2 linked regions of the Rhinolophus ferrumequinum genome follow. The main gene of each other region encodes a partner of the protein of the gene in region 2 in a complex. Links are inferred from orthologs where the notes say so. Each region holds a gene or a part of one and is shown on either strand. Other genes may lie near its edges.

Region 1 (7,944 bases), on a different chromosome or scaffold from region 2:
ACCACAAGCTCGTTCCGTCTTCCCACCTCTGGCTGTTCCTTCTTACTTCACTCTATTGCCCCATAGCCCCATTGCCCTCCCCATCTCGCTCCCCTTCGGCCCACCCACCCGACCCCCCAGCTCCAGCCCCTGCTTACCTTGCCTAGAGTAGAGAAGCTGAGCTGGAAGAGGAAGGAGAGGATCTCCACTAGGTCCATGCCCCGACTCTAGGGAGGAATGGGCACAGACAAGGGGACGGGATGGGAGGGAGAAAATCAGGGAGCAGTCTGTAGGCAGTAATCTCTCGGTGTGTCCTGAGAAGAGCAGAGCACACCCACAAGCAGACGCTGCACTCCTCACCTGGGCTGTCTGTAGATACTGCAACATAAAGTACCAGAGCTGGGCAGGGGTGTCCAGCAGCAGGAACTGGAAGCCAGCAGAGGTAATGCAGGGAGGCTCTCCGGGCTCGGTACTAGACACGTGGAGAGGGACAATGGGACAGGTGTGCACAGAATGGCCACCAGCCCCACCGACCGCTCACGTCTGCTCTTGGTTTATCTCTCGCTGTACTCCACTCAGCTGTCCTTCTTCAACGCCCTCCAATCCTGACCCGCCTGGACACTCAGTTTGGCAGCGACCCAAGGAGATGGCAAAGCCGGGAGCTGTTGTGCCTCGGGCTTCCTCACCTCTTCATGAGCCCAGCCTGGCTGAGGAGCTGAGCCAAGTCCTGGCTGACAGCTGCACTGGGGGAGCCCACCATGAAGTGCAGGACCACCTGAGGAATGGAGGAGAATAGAGATGCCTCTGGGGTCCATGGGAAGCAGGAGCATAAGCAGAGACACACACAGAGTCGCAAGTTCTCACCTCCCATCGCTCCTCGGCGTACTTGTCAAGTGACGGGACATCCCGGGCATGCTTGTCTGGTCCCAGCTGACTCGTGTCATCAGACCAGGCCTTGCCCCTATGCCAGGATGGGCCAAGAGTAAGGAGCCCTGCCTGTGTCCCCTGCCCACTCCTCTGCCCTCTTTCTACCTTTGTCCCCATGGGCCATGAGTGGGAGGCATTCCCTACACCATGCATCTGGTCCAACTTATTGCTAAGGAGCTGCCAAAGGTGGAGCCCACAAGGTTCCAGAGAGGCCCCTAAGGAGTTCCCCGGCCTAGCTTAGGAGGAGATGGAGTGACATACCCACCCAGAAGGGCAATGCGCAGGTTCTGGCGGAAGATGGGGTTGAGGATGAGGCCCTGGAGACCACCAGGGAGCAGCTGGGTGTGCCAGATACGGAGGCCACTCAGCAGCCCTGTACTTTCCTCCTGAGCTCTGAAACAGAAGCAGAGAGGTGACAGGTGTGTCTGGAGAACAAAAAGAAGGCCCATGAAGGCCTCCATTTCTGCTTTTGAACTAGTAGTCCTTGGATTACTGTTTCACAGAGTGAAATCAATGTCTTAAGGCAAATTTCTTTACTGTAACGCCTGCCAGAGCCTTGTTATAGACCTCACAACTCTCCAAGAGGGAAAATACAGTATACAGTTTCCCAAACTTATTTAATTACAAGTCTTATGGTGTACCCATTAATCTTTCCTGAAAAATGTTCCAAGGAACAGCAGTTGGGGAAATCTAGCCATTGAGAAATTGGTATCTGGCTGGGAATACAGCACTCACTTGCTGAATTCCTTCTTTACCCACAGGGCTACAGCAGCTTGTGGCAGAGGCTGCTCCAGAAAGAGCATGCGCATCACCCAGTTCTTAGCCAGAGGTGGGAGCTCCCTGCAGGGGGAGAGGAAAAATGTTACTGTCAGCAACTGCCTTAGATCTGCATCTCTGCCCTCAACCTGTGTCTTAGCCTCTCAAACATCTCATCTCACCCTCCACCCCTTTACCAGTCTTGCTGCCCCAACAAACACCATCTGTTTTGGCCTGACACACTTTAATCTTTACGCCCTGTAGAACGAAGCTTCTATCCATGATAACTTATCCCAGTCTGCAGGCCCCATTACATTTCCCCACCATGGTCCCTGCTGTGAAGGGCACCCTCACCTGAAGACAGCCAGACAGGTGGCAGGGTGCCCATATAATCGGTCCAATACCCCAGGGCTCAGACCCCCTAGAAATTCCTGCAGATTCCTGCATTGTAGGTGTACTCGGTTCAGCCCACCCCTTGACGGGATGCTCTCCATCACCTGAAAGATGCAAGCGTTAGAAACGCAATCCCTCAATCCATGCCAGTGTCACCCCTCACCTTTCTCATTCCGATCCCAGATCCACTGGCCCCCACAATAACCCATCTTTTCTATGGTTCCCTTTTGAATGTCATTCATCTCCTCTAGTTTCTCCCAAACCTGACTGACTTCCCCTCTTTCCCTGCCTTCTCACCCCACTTCTGGCCTCAGCTCCAGTCTTCACTTGATTTCCAAGTAACAGAATTTTTCATTGTCCCATATTTGCAAAATCATTTTGTGTGCCAGTGATTGCTCATCTTTACTAAGCAGTGACAAAGAGACTTGTTTGAGCCCAATCCTCTCTCCCTACCACCTCTCCTGGTCGGATCTACTTATAAGCTCTACATCTGTCAGACCTTCCCATCTATTTCTTGATCCCACTTCTGCTGGGTACGGCAATAAACTACCTTTCCCCTCCATGTCTCCCGAATCTAATTCCACCTCTTTCCTCTCCTTTTCCCTCCTCCCTCCAAAGACCACTTCACCCCATTCAACCTGATCCATACCGTTCGACCTCCTAACTTCGCTACTTTCCTCCCATTCCTCGCCTCTTACTCAACTCGTACACTCCGCCACCCGCTCTCTCCCGGCCCCCTTACCACTCTGGGTCAGTTCCCCCTCGTGCACCCGAGTCTCAAGCAGTCGCTTAATCGGAACCAGGGCCTTGCACTGGCTCTGGGAAATAGGGAAAAGTATGGTGAAAATGAGAGAAAAAGATGGGGAGAGCGACGAAGGATTTCACAGACAGGAGTTCGGAGCAGGGGATTCAGAAGAGGAAAGAAAAAGTGGGTAGGATAAGAATGGGCGCTGCACTCGCCCGGCGCGGAGCACACTGGGAATTGGAGTTTTGTCCTTCCTCACCCCAGAGCCGGCTGAAGCGCGTCTGACTACAGCTCCCGAAAGGCACCGCGGGGAAACAGCGAGGAAAGAGCCTGGCCTTTCATTGAGAGAGCTCAGGACACCGGAGGCCGGGTCACTTGGTTCCGCGTCTCTCTCCACGCACGCCTCCAACGGCATGTCTAACCGACCGGTACGGGAGGCGGGACCCTGGGAGAAGAAGTACCCCGAGGACCTACTGGCGGAGGTGTGGAGACGGCTGGATGGTAAGGCGCTTAGTTTTAGACACGCACGAAACTGGGTTCCTTGAGCTCAGCTGATCCAGGTGAAATTGGCTTAAAGCGCTCTACAGAGCGTTTTCGCGAGTTAGGAGTTAACTGGATCTAGTTGCCACGTCCACCATGCTCCCGCCTCCCGTTTAGTTAAAAGATACTAGTAAATACAATTTTAAAAATTGTACGCTTTGATTTGATTTATGAACCTATTGCAGCGAAAGGGAAGGGAACGTCTTTAGCCAAGGCCGGAGCTACAGGCTTCCTAAGTTCTCATGAGGCAAGTTTTATTATTCGCATTTTACAGACCGGAAGACCAAAGTCTAGTGAGAGAAAATTTGCCCGCGATTGGACTAGAAAGTACCGAGGCAGGAATATTAAGTACATTTGCCAGGGACGAGGGACTAAAATGGTAATAAGGACTGTCTGTGTAAGACTTTGCCGTGCGTTGTAGCCCACCCATGTTTGTTTCATTGTTCCGTTTCTTTAGCAATCAATGTTTAAAATCCTCAAAGAATGCCACAAAACTGAGAAAGCTTCTTTGTGTTAAGTACAGTTAAAATTAGATTCTGGAAAGAAGTATTTGATAAAATGGACAAAATACAAAGAACTCTTACAAAGCAATAAGAAAAAGTAACATCACAATGGAAAGATTGACAAAATAGAAAATAGGCGATAAACAGAAGAAATACAAATGACTTCAAATGAAAACTCTCAACTTCACTAGTAATTTAGGAAAAGCAAATTAAAGAAACAATAACATATCCAATTAAAAAACGATTAAGGATTGACTACCTCGATGTATATGAGACTATGAGGATACTCATATACTTTTGTTGAAGGTTAATGGAAGCATGCTTTCTTAAGGGCAATTTGGCTGTATATACCAAGGATTTTAATGTGGCTATACTTTTAGGAATGCATCATACTGAAATTCTCCCACCTGGGTGCAAAGATGTTTATTGGAGTGTATCTGTTGTTGCATTATGAAAACAATGGAAACAGCCTAAGTGTCCATTATTAGGAGTTGGTTAGATGAAATGTGGATCGTTACATGTAGAATACTGGAGAACACTTAGAGAGGAGGTCACTATGCATACTGACAACTGCATACGACCTGTCATGAGGGGAAGAAACGCAGATTACAAAATGGCGTACACAATCCAATGCCATATTTGTAAGAAGCTTTCATGTGTGTGTAAAACTCAGAGAGGTCATTTTGATGGGAGCAAGCAAAGGAAGCTGGGTAGATCAGGTCACAGTTCTCTACAATGTGGGGAAAACTCGGGCTACACTGTCCAGAATAGGAGCCTAGCCACCTGTAGCTATTTACATTTAAATTAACTCAAACAAAATTTAAATTCAGTTCCTCAGTCAACATTAGCCCCATTTCAAGTACTCAGTAGTCGCTACTGATTGGATGGTGCAGATATAGACCTTTCCCTCATCAAGGAGCTCTGACCCCTGCTTGGAGGGATGCAGTGGATGAGGGCAGGTGTCTGATGGCAGGAACCAAGCAGACTGAGTTCCTGGAACTGGCCTTCAAGAAGAAAATCAGCGTGGTCTCCTGGGAGCTGAAATGCAGAAAGAGCCCCCTGACATAATAAGGCTATCCAGCTTGTGCTGAGAAAACTTCCTGTGATGTAGAGTTCATGACCTCCTCCCCTCAGGCAGCATCCTGGAGAGAGAACAGAGATCCAGGAGTCGTGGGCTGCTTCCCACCAGCTTCACCCTTTACCATTGTGCTGCCTTGGGCAAGTGGCTTAACCTAACAGTTTTCTTCTCTGTGAAATGGCAATAGTTTTAGCTACTTCCTATGTTGTGATATTAAATAAGATATGATATGTAATAAGCATGGCACCTGGCACATAGTAGATGCTCAATAAACATTTTCTTAACAAAAAAAAATGTAAAATGGCACCCCCGTAGTAAGTGCTATAAAGAAGCGAGTCCCGTTCTCTGAAAGCCTCAAGAGGAGATCTGACCTGGTTGGCAAGTTAGGGAAGGCTGCTGAAGGACAAGCAGGAGTTATCAAAGCAAAGACAGCAGGGAATTGTGTTCCAGATGGGGACAGCATGCTATGAAGTCCTTGTGGCAGGCAGGACTGAAAGGCCAGTGGTGCAAAGAGAGGGTGGGAAGGACCCACCCTGAAGATGGGGTGGGGGCGCTAAAGTTGGCCAAGAAGATTTTGTTCTTATTCTGATGTCAATGGGTAGCCATTCAAGGGTTTGAAATAACGGAATGAGGTCGGATTTCTGTGTTTTCAAGGTCACTGGCTGCAAGGACCAAACTGGAGCAAACTGGAGAGGAGCGGAAACAGATGCTAGGAGAGACCAGGCAAGATGGAGATGGGAAGAAATGAGGGATTGAAGGGAAAGTGGGGAAGCGAAATCGACAGAGCTACGTGATAGACTGGATTTGTGAGGGGAGAGTAGGGAAAAGGGTGTCGAGGATGATCCCCAGGTTTCTGGCTTGTGCAACTGAGTGGATAGTGCTGCCATTCAGTGAGGCAGGAGATGACATGGGAGGGGCCAGCTTGGACACGCTGAGACTGACAGATCTGCACTTCTCGGTGGACCTCTAGGTGGTTGCACAGCTTTAGAGCTTCATAGAGAGTTCTGAGCTAGAGATTCGGGAGTTCTCCGCTCACTGCACGGCTTCCATTGCTCACCATTATGCATTCTGGCTTCGAAACTCTTGACCTGTCAGTGCCCGTCTTAAATCATGGGTCACAGTGACCTGGCCAGCGTAGGTTTCAGCAGAACTCAGATCTGTGTCCTGGACCCCAACGGCCTATAATTCAACATAAGATTAAATTGTCTTTATTTTTATCCTCATTATCCAGTTGGCTCATTTTGTGACTATCAACCATGACCTTTGTTTCACATGGACTACCATCATGTCTTTCCTAATATTTGCAACTGATTTTTCTTTTTCTTTCTAACTTTGTTAAATGTTTTTTTGGTGGTTGTAGCTCATCCTTCCAAGCCTGAGATCATTTAGGCTCTTGCTTCTGGCTCCCAGCGAGACAGCTCACACCCATTGGGTGATTTACACACTTGATCAGCGTAATCCAGGGATTCTCCACTGGGGACTTCCAGACTCGTGTGTGTGTGGGGGGGGGGGGGGGCGTGTGTCCTAGAATGTGGGCTAGGAAAAAAACGACACATCTATTTTTATGAACCTCTAAATTTCTAACTGAAATTTAGCATTCCCTCCAAGTATGAATATGAGCAAAACCCTCAGTAGTGTTAGCGTGTGACTTACATTAATAGACATCGCAGCTATTTTCATATCTCACTGTAGTTGTAGAAATCTCAGAATGTCATTTATCGTTATACTATTTGGAAATGTCAGTAGTTGTTGCTAGATCTTGTTATTAAATATATTTAAAAGAACCACGTTAATATATAATTTTTTAACATTTTTGTAAACTCTTTCAGTTGACTTCCTCTATAATCATGTATCTATACATACACACCCTCCTTTTAATGGGTTTTAAAACATAATTCTGAGGTGGAATCAGATCTCGCCAGGCTGCCACAGGGGTCAGTGGGTCAAACGAGGTTAAGACTGGAGGCTTACTCCACCTCCCTCCCAGCCTCCTGCAGAGCTTGTGTTGGAGTTGACAAGGTTCATACATTCATGTGGGACCTCAGGTCCCACAAGCAAGGACCTGGCTTATGGAGACACAGAACACTATGTTGGGCAAAATACGTGGTAGGAAATGGAACGGGGAGGAGGAAAAAGAGAAGAAAATGGGATGGGGGAAGGGAGGGGCAGGAGGCAGATTTTACCAAAACCCCAAGAAACCTACTCACAGCTGTGGAAAACTCAACCTTTATTATTACCTGCCTAGTGCAGGGGATTAAAATTGCATTGAGCTAGATCCATATATTAGTGTAAAAATCTGTCTCTCTCCCCCCAAAAATGTACAAACCCAAGTGATTATAGAAAAACCAATGTGGCAGCTATGATAGAGATATCCAACCCCCGGGCCCTAGGCCTTTGCTCCCTCTTTCCCCCTAATCCCAGTATTTATTCCACAGAAACATACAGGCTTAGAGAAGTTCTAGCTACAACATGGCAGATGGGAGGTGGGGTTTGGGGGCAGGAATCAAGCCCAGGTCCAGTGTTTCAGAGGATGGAGGGGGAAAAGCCAAAGCTGAGGACAATTCCAGGAGTAGGCACAAGGGAACATCTTTCTCCCGTTTTTGTCCTCCTCACTCCACAAAATCTCAGCCAGTGGGGTCCAGTGTGTGCCAGAAAGAGAGAGGCTGCGGGGCACAGCCTTCCCTCCAGGAACCAGTGTTGTCCAAGGGGGCCCAGGTGCTCCAGGGGGCCATGTCCAGTGTCTGCCCTGTATTTGCCCCCACCCTCCCCAAGGGATGGCTAGAAGAGGTCCGAGACGGTCCCATCCACAGGGCCAGCTGGGTGGGTGGCAGAAGCTTCTAGAAGAGGAGCAGGAAGGGGGGGCAGGAGGAAGGGAGGTCATCAGCTTCCTGGCAGGCCCAGCCCACCTTCGGTCACACTGCGCCTCTCTCAGAGGTGAAGGGCAGTTAGGGGGAGAGTGGAGGTGCCATTAGCTCCTCTTCTTTGTGCCACTGGCTTCCCCGAAACCCTCCCTGAGGAGGGAG
Region 2 (6,950 bases):
GGGCTGGCCCGCAGGGTTGAATGCTGATGCCCACGGCACTGGGAGCTCAGCCAGCCCTGACAACCCGCAGAGCTACTGTAGGGTCTCCGGGCTGGGTGGGGAGCCTGAGTGCTGCCCCGCCTCCTGCAGGAACTTGGCCGAGGGGTCTACTGGGCTTGGGTGGAGCCTGGAAGCTTCTGGCAGCAGGACGCTCAGGATGGGCAGCCATGACCACAGCAGGCATTCTATTCAGGGCCCAGAAAATCTGGTTCTTTAGATCCTGGGAAGAGAGGATGTGGGGACCTCTGTGCTGTGCTGACCTAGAGTACACAGAACACATGGGTGGAGATGCCAGTGCCCTAGTGCTCTTGGTGGCCTGAGAGCACCCCCTCCAGAGGGAGACACCCCAGGCTGAGCAGTTGCCATGGGGATGGCTATCCCTTTTCCTGGGCAGTAAGTGGCCTCAGGCATGAGGCAGGACACAGGTACACAGTGGCAGGGAGTCGCACAAAGCCAGACCAACTGTCAGGACCTTCTTGTGGTTCTGCAAAGACCTTTACTGGATGGCTCCTGCCAGAGCAGGAGACCAACGCCCACACAGCTGTGAGCAGACATTGCTCCTGGCTACCCACGCTTCAGTGGGAGGGGCTCTGGGCAGGACAGACTGCTGGGTGCTCCCGGGCTTCTGCAGGGGTACATAGTTGAGCAGCTTCTCTATCAAGTCCACGTGGGCCAGCAGCATGCTGGGTGCTCACTCACTTCTCCAGGGGTACATAGTTGAGCAGCTTCTCTATGAGGTCCACGTGGGCCAGCAGCATGCGGCGACAGCAGTAGCGCTTCAGGCCCAGCGCGTCCAGAGCATCCCTGCAGGCAGAAGACAGGCTGTGATCTGTCGGTCCCCAAAAGCCCAGGCAGATGGAAGCCTCACTCAGCTGCTGTGGGATCTTTCCTCAGCCCTGCTTCCACATTGGGAAGGGAGGCATCTCTCCAGGGAGCCATTTCTGACGCAAATTAGAGTCCCCAATTCCCTGGGACCAAGATTAGTCACCCTCGAGGCCTCCAGAAAATTCCCACACCATTGGCCCCAGTGTGCAGAGATGGCAGCTTGGCAATGGGGAGGCCAGGCTGGAAGGTCCCTGCCCATGGTGCTGCACGGAGGGTCGTGGGCAGGCTACCAGCCACTCACGCACTCTGGTCACCCCAGCAGCCTTTGCAGGGTCTGGTGCCAACAGCCCATCATCACCCCCACACCTGCCCTGAGAGTCGATGGCATGTTGGCACGTCCCGGGTCCCAGGGGTTCAAGTGTGACAGGACATGGGCTGTCCACACAGTGGCCAAGGGTGAGACTCTACTGGGGAGCAGACTCAGCTAGCCGTGGTGGTAACTGCAGTGCTAAGGGACAAGCACAGAAAAGGGACCTGCCACAGCCTCAAAATGACAGCTATGTGGCCAGGAAGCTGCCCTGAGCCTAAAAGACAAGTGGGCTTGTGGGACATGCGGTGGATCTAATAGCAGGTGGGCAGGGAGCAGGGTGACGGCTTAACCGCAGTGGAGGGGCACCGCGGCCGGCCACAAGGACACCGAGAAGCCCCCTGGAGAGCAGGGCTGGAAGAGACTCTGGAACTGAAAGCCCCTCCAGGGTCACCTGTAATCGGATGCGCGTGGCACCGCCCGCCCCGCAGGCCGGGACCCCGTTACCCCCGGCCCTCCCCGCCCGTCTCGCAGGGCGGCCCAGGGACGCTTCCCACCGCGCTGGCGGCCCTCCCCCGCCGGGCCCGGCGCCTCACCCCTCGGTGTACTCGGCCTGCAGCAGCCCCAGGTAGGCCTCCCACTTGTTGCCGACGATCTTGCCGCAGGTGAAGCAGCGCACGGGGATGATCATGGCGGCAGTGGGACAACGACCGCGCTCTTCGGTTCCGGCGGCGCTTCTGCCCGAGAGCCGACCCCGCCCCGGGCGCGTCCATGGTGCGGGGGAGACGGGACCCGTCTCCAGCCGCCCCCAGTCCACCTCCCCAGCCCCCGCGCCGTCGGCATCCGCTTCCTGTCGCGACGATCTTCCTCGCGCGTATCGGGGGTCTCGGAACCCTCGTGGCTGCGGCAGGAGCAGGCGGCGTCCCCTCTGCGCCCCTTTGGTACATCCCGGCCTATGGTGGCCGAGCGAGGCCGTAAGGGCTCGGCGGCGCAGTTCGCGTTTCTCGTGTCCGCATGACTGACAGCTACGCGGCGGGTGGATTGCGCGCGCAGGTACAGCGTCCGCTGGTCGGGGTCCCGCCGCCCGCCGCGCCAGAGCCGGGATCAGACACCCGCCCCGGCACGAGCGAGCGGGAGCGGAGTTCCAGCCCGGAGCGCGGAGCCCCGAGTCGAGCCGCAGCAACAAGTGGCGGGGCCCGGGCGCGGCGACCCCGCAGCGGGGGCAGAGAGAGGCTGGCCGGCGGCCACGGGCGGGTCTTCCCGCTGCCTCTCCTGGACGGGCCGGGAAAGGGGTCTGTCGCCCGGAATCCTTGCCCGCGGATGCCCGGGAATCTCTGCGGCTGAGTTCGGGAGTGCCCTCGGGGCGTCTCCAGGCCCGCTCGCCCGTGCTATATCGGTCCCGGCCAGGTAACAGTTACCTGTAGTTCCGACGGTGGGAGGGCACGCTAGGAGCGATCGGCCGGGTGGTGAGCTCAGACAGCGCCGCATCGATCTGCTTTGGTCCGCGTCCCTCCTCCTTTCTTCCCGGGGAAGGGGATGGGGGGCGGGAAGGGTCTGCAGCCGCCCCAGTCCAAGCTCTGCTGGGTCCCCGCGATCTGAGGACCGGAGTGTGGTCAGGGAGAGCGTCGTGGAAGAGGCGCCTGTTGAGCTGAACCTTGAAAAGTACAGGATTTCACCAGGCGTGAGCCTGAGTGCGTGTGAAGGAGCAGGGCAGACCCTGGCAAAAGGAACCCTTGGGCAGAGGTCTGGAGTCGGTACCTGCAGGGTAGTCCCAGACAGGTGTGCGCTAGGGCCAGAGTAGGTGGTGGGGCAGGAGCCACGGAGGATTGAGGGGAAGGGAGGCTGTGTGTCGGGAAATGGGGTGGGCTGAGCCCCAAGATGGGGGCTGGGCAGGGCGGGCAGTGTGCAGTGAGAAGCCCGAGGGCTCCCTGTGTGTGGGTGGTGAGCTTTGGGCTCTAGGGGGTGGATGTGTTGCAAAGTGGCACCTGTGACTTAATGTGTGTGCAGCCTCTGGGGCAGGTTCGCTGGATCTCTGGTTGGGTCCCAGGAGTCAGCTAACTGCCCCCTCAGGCCTTAGTTGGGGGGCAGGGAGATGGAGGGTCCTGGGTCCTGGGTGGAGCTGCCGGCACTGGTGCCCGCCTGGAGTTTGTGCCTCCACTTTCTCCGGGGCCCTGGACAGCCTCCCCAGTGCTCTTTGCCATCCCCCACCCTGCCACGTGCAGAGCCACGAGCCAAAGCCACTTCCCTTCCCTGACACCCCCCCACATACACACTGACTGGACGCACATCCTGTCCCTGGCCTGGAGGGGCAGGATAGGGGCCTTGAGTCACAGTGGCCTGGGGTCAGACCCAGGCTCAGCTGCAGAGGCTGCCCGAGGCTGTGGAGGTGAGGGAGACCGGGAGGGCATCGGGATGTCAGCTGGGTGGACCTTCAGGAGCTGGAGTGGGTGGGGGCAGAAGGCTTCCTGGAGGAGGGGCCCAGGGCCTGTCCCACTGGAGCTCCTGCCCTGAGCAGTTGTTTACGCAGAGAGAGTAAGGGGAGCAGCGAGCCTCCCTCCCTGATCCGGTCCAGAGCCAAGTTGACATTCCTGGAATTCTGAGAGCTGTGTGTAGATTTGGGGGCCGCTGGCTCCTCTTCCCAAGCTCCTCCCTCCAGCTCCCTGATTTCCCAGGAGAGGCCATGGGGAGCAGAGTGGCTGCCCCGGCCCAGCCTGTGTGCGCTGCCCCAGCACACGTGTGCGTGGGTGGAGGCCCCTTGGGGCACTTAGTTCTGCCTGCTCAACTCTGCCTGGCTCAGCCCTGCCCAGGCTGGACCAGAGGACCCCAGGGGAACCTCAGAGGTCAGCTCTACCCCCCAACCATGGCCCGGACAGGCTGTGTCCCTGCATGTGTGTCTGTGTGTGTTGGGGTTGCACGTTGAGGTGAGGGCCGGGGGGGCCAGGGGCAGGAGGGAGCTGTGGGGGCCCAGGGCACTGGTGGAGGAGGGGCTCTGCGTGCCTGCTGGGGTAGGTGGGGGCCCTGGCTTCTCCCCTCGGTGTGGAGTGTCAGCACAGATGTGGCCCAGGCCTCTGGGGAGGGCCGGAGAGTGAGGCACAGGTTTTCCGAGAATGAGTGTCCTGCCTCCAGTGATGGGAAGCACGAGGAGGGAGGGCTGTGCTCACATGTGGTTTGGAACCCGTGAGCCACATTTCCTGCCAGAAAGGGTCACTTGAGGGCAGGCCAGGGACAAGGGGAAATCAGCGACTGAAGTTTTAGCTGCTGAGCTTCCGGCTCTGAAGGTTGTCCTGGAAACAGGCCGGCCACAGGCCCCAACCCCTGGTCCTGGATCACAGCCTCAGTTTCCCCATCTGTAAAGCGTGGATGGAACGAGAAGCTGCCAAGCTGGAGGGTCCGGATCTATCTGTGCAGGTGTGGGGTTCCGGACTCAGGCCCTGGCCGCTTGCTTTGGGTACATGTGTGCTTACATGGGGTGTACAGGGTGGCATGGGATCCTTGAACATACATGCTCGGATGCCTCCCCAGGGTCAGACGGGTCACCTACCTGCTGCACCCATGCTAACCCTCTCGGCCCTTGGGGCTGGGGAGTCCTTAGTGGTGATGTTTGCAGGCGTGCTGAGCCCGAACTGACTCTAACCTAATGAGCCTCTGAACACACCTGGGGCTGATGTGGGCTTCCTGAGGGAGGGCACTGCTCTGCGGTGTCCGTCTGGTGGCATAGGGCGGGGTGGGGGTGTCTGTCGAGGTGGGGCAGGCACACACTGGCCATGTGAGGTAGCGTGCTCCCAGGGCCTGTGGTGGCTGGGAAGGTATCCCCCAGCCCCCAATCCTAATTGTGTCCCCTTGGCCTTTACCTCTACATGGCCTTCAGCAGAGAAATACCTGAGGTGGGGGGAGGAGCCGGGACGGGGGGGGGGGGGGGGTGGGCAGGGGAGGGAGGGCCTGAGCTTGGGTTGGCCTAGGTGGGCCCAGGAGGAGAGAGGGGGCCCTTGGTGGCTTCTTCCACGGGGATCCCTCCCGTGGAGCGGGTGTCTCCCAGCCGGACGCTCCCGGTTGGGCTGGGGAGATGACCCTGCCTGGGCTCTGAGTGTGAAGGGATGCCAGCCTGCCCAGCCTGGGTGTCTGTGTTCTCCTCCCCCAGACCTGGGTGGGCACTGGGGCCCGGCGGGGCTGAAGCAGTGGCAGGAAGGCCCACACCACAGGCCTGTTTGTGTTGGCCAGGCCCTCCTGGGCTCCTCAAAGCTGCCTCAGAGCCAGCTCCGCCAGGGGGCCGGGGTGGGCGGCTCCGATCTGCGATCTATGCTCCACCCTGAGCTGCCCCTGCTGGGGTGTGTGCTCAGGCCAGACCCCTGCTGCTGCTCCATTGCTGGGGTCAGGGTGGGCCACTGGCAACCGCCCATTTGTCCACCCCAGCCTCTAAGTCCAACGCCACACGCTCTGTTTCAGCATTTGGGCAGGTCCTTTTTGGAGAGGGCCTTGGTGTGGTCAGGTAGGTGCCCATGGCCTGTGGCTCACACAACCCCAAAGACCCAGCCCCGGGCTGGCAGGCTGTGGTATTTGTCTTGGGGCTGTCACTCAGCCCTGTCGCTGTTGCCTGCTGTGTGAGCTGTACTGGGGACACAGACCTGTCAGTCTCTGCCCTCAAAGGAGGGCCAAAGTGCGGCATGGAGGCTTCATGGGGAGGAGCCAGCCTGGTCTTGTCCTGCCCAGGAGGGTTGTAGGTGCTGGTGGAGCCAGCCGTAAGGGCCTGCCGGGGAGGGATGCCGGGATCTGGGGCTGAGGGGATATGCAGACCCAGCCTCAGGCCTGCGTGGGTGGGTGTGTGCTGCATGGTTTTTAGCTTCCGGAATGTTGCTGTGGGCTTTGGGCCCCTTAGCCCTGGGGAGGGGGGTTCATCAAAGAAAGTGGGACGGGTGTGTCCCCCATTTCCTTTGATAGTTCATGGGGCCTAAAACCCTTCAACAGACACTTCATCCCCAGGCACAGCAGTTGTGGAGGGGTGGGGATGGGGTCCCAGGGCCTGGACCCAGGCACATGCCCTCCCCACTGGGGTGGGTGCCGTTCATACCGCCTAACTGAAGTTGGGGGTGGGTGTCAGGTTGCTTGCAGGGACGAGCTGGGACTGACCCATACGGTGGACTCCCGTCCACCCCAGGCATGAGTGGACAGGTGGGCAGTGTGCAGCCCGTGAGGGGTTGGGCAGGAGGGGGTAGGCACCTGCCAGGGTGGCATTTGGAGCCTTTGCAGTCCCTCCTGCCCCTGGGCTACTGGGAAGACCACCTGCCCCAGCTGCCAGGCTGCAAGGAGTCCCTGGTGTGAGGGGCGAAGTATAGAGAGCATGGCTGGGGTGCCCTGTCCCCATAGTCTGTGGCTGGTGGGGGAGGCCCTGTGAGCACGGGTGGCAGATGTGGCTGCATGAGTCGTCACCACTGGCTCTGGGGGAGAGCGTGAGGCTGGGAGCAGGGGACCTGGGCAGTTGGGGTGACACATCACTGTGCTCTGAGTCCGTCAGTCCACACATCTGAACGTGTGTGTCCTGCACGCACATTGTCTGCGTGTGCGAGCCTGCCTCCCTGCCTGGTGTCTCAGCAGGCGAGTGACGGGAGGTCGGGATGAAGTCCCCCTGTTGGGCCCCTCGGCTGCTCCTCCTCCCCCCGTAGGGACCTGGTCTCAGGTGGAGGGCTGCTTGTCACCCCCTGGGGCCTGCCTGGTTGCTGGGAGCCCCGATGGGATGGGTAGGGACGAGGTGCAGCCTCCATCCTGCCTTTTCCTCCACAGAACT

Evidence for each region. The genes of interacting proteins can lie anywhere in the genome.
Region 1: POLR2L (region 2) and GTF2H4 share a complex: the UniProt entries of both Homo sapiens proteins name them as parts of the TBP-based Pol II pre-initiation complex. The link is inferred for Rhinolophus ferrumequinum from reciprocal best matches to the Homo sapiens genes POLR2L and GTF2H4.

Annotation. Positions count from the first base shown.
Region 1 is NC_046286.1:1,466,780-1,474,723, reverse strand, and holds the start of GTF2H4 (general transcription factor IIH subunit 4), read right to left. Parts: upstream 3,004-7,944; 5' UTR 2,798-3,003; intron 2,160-2,797; 5' UTR 2,157-2,159; coding exon 2,017-2,156; intron 1,747-2,016; coding exon 1,642-1,746; intron 1,300-1,641; coding exon 1,168-1,299; intron 941-1,167; coding exon 844-940; intron 755-843; coding exon 666-754; intron 452-665; coding exon 340-451; intron 207-339; coding exon 138-206; intron 1-137. UniProt on the Homo sapiens protein: Component of the general transcription and DNA repair factor IIH (TFIIH) core complex, which is involved in general and transcription-coupled nucleotide excision repair (NER) of damaged DNA and, when complexed to CAK, in RNA transcription by RNA polymerase II.
Region 2 is NC_046294.1:511,311-518,260, forward strand, and holds POLR2L (DNA-directed RNA polymerases I, II, and III subunit RPABC5), read right to left. Parts: upstream 2,010-6,950; 5' UTR 1,863-2,009; coding exon 1,768-1,862; intron 844-1,767; coding exon 735-843; 3' UTR 516-734; downstream 1-515. UniProt on the Homo sapiens protein: DNA-dependent RNA polymerase catalyzes the transcription of DNA into RNA using the four ribonucleoside triphosphates as substrates.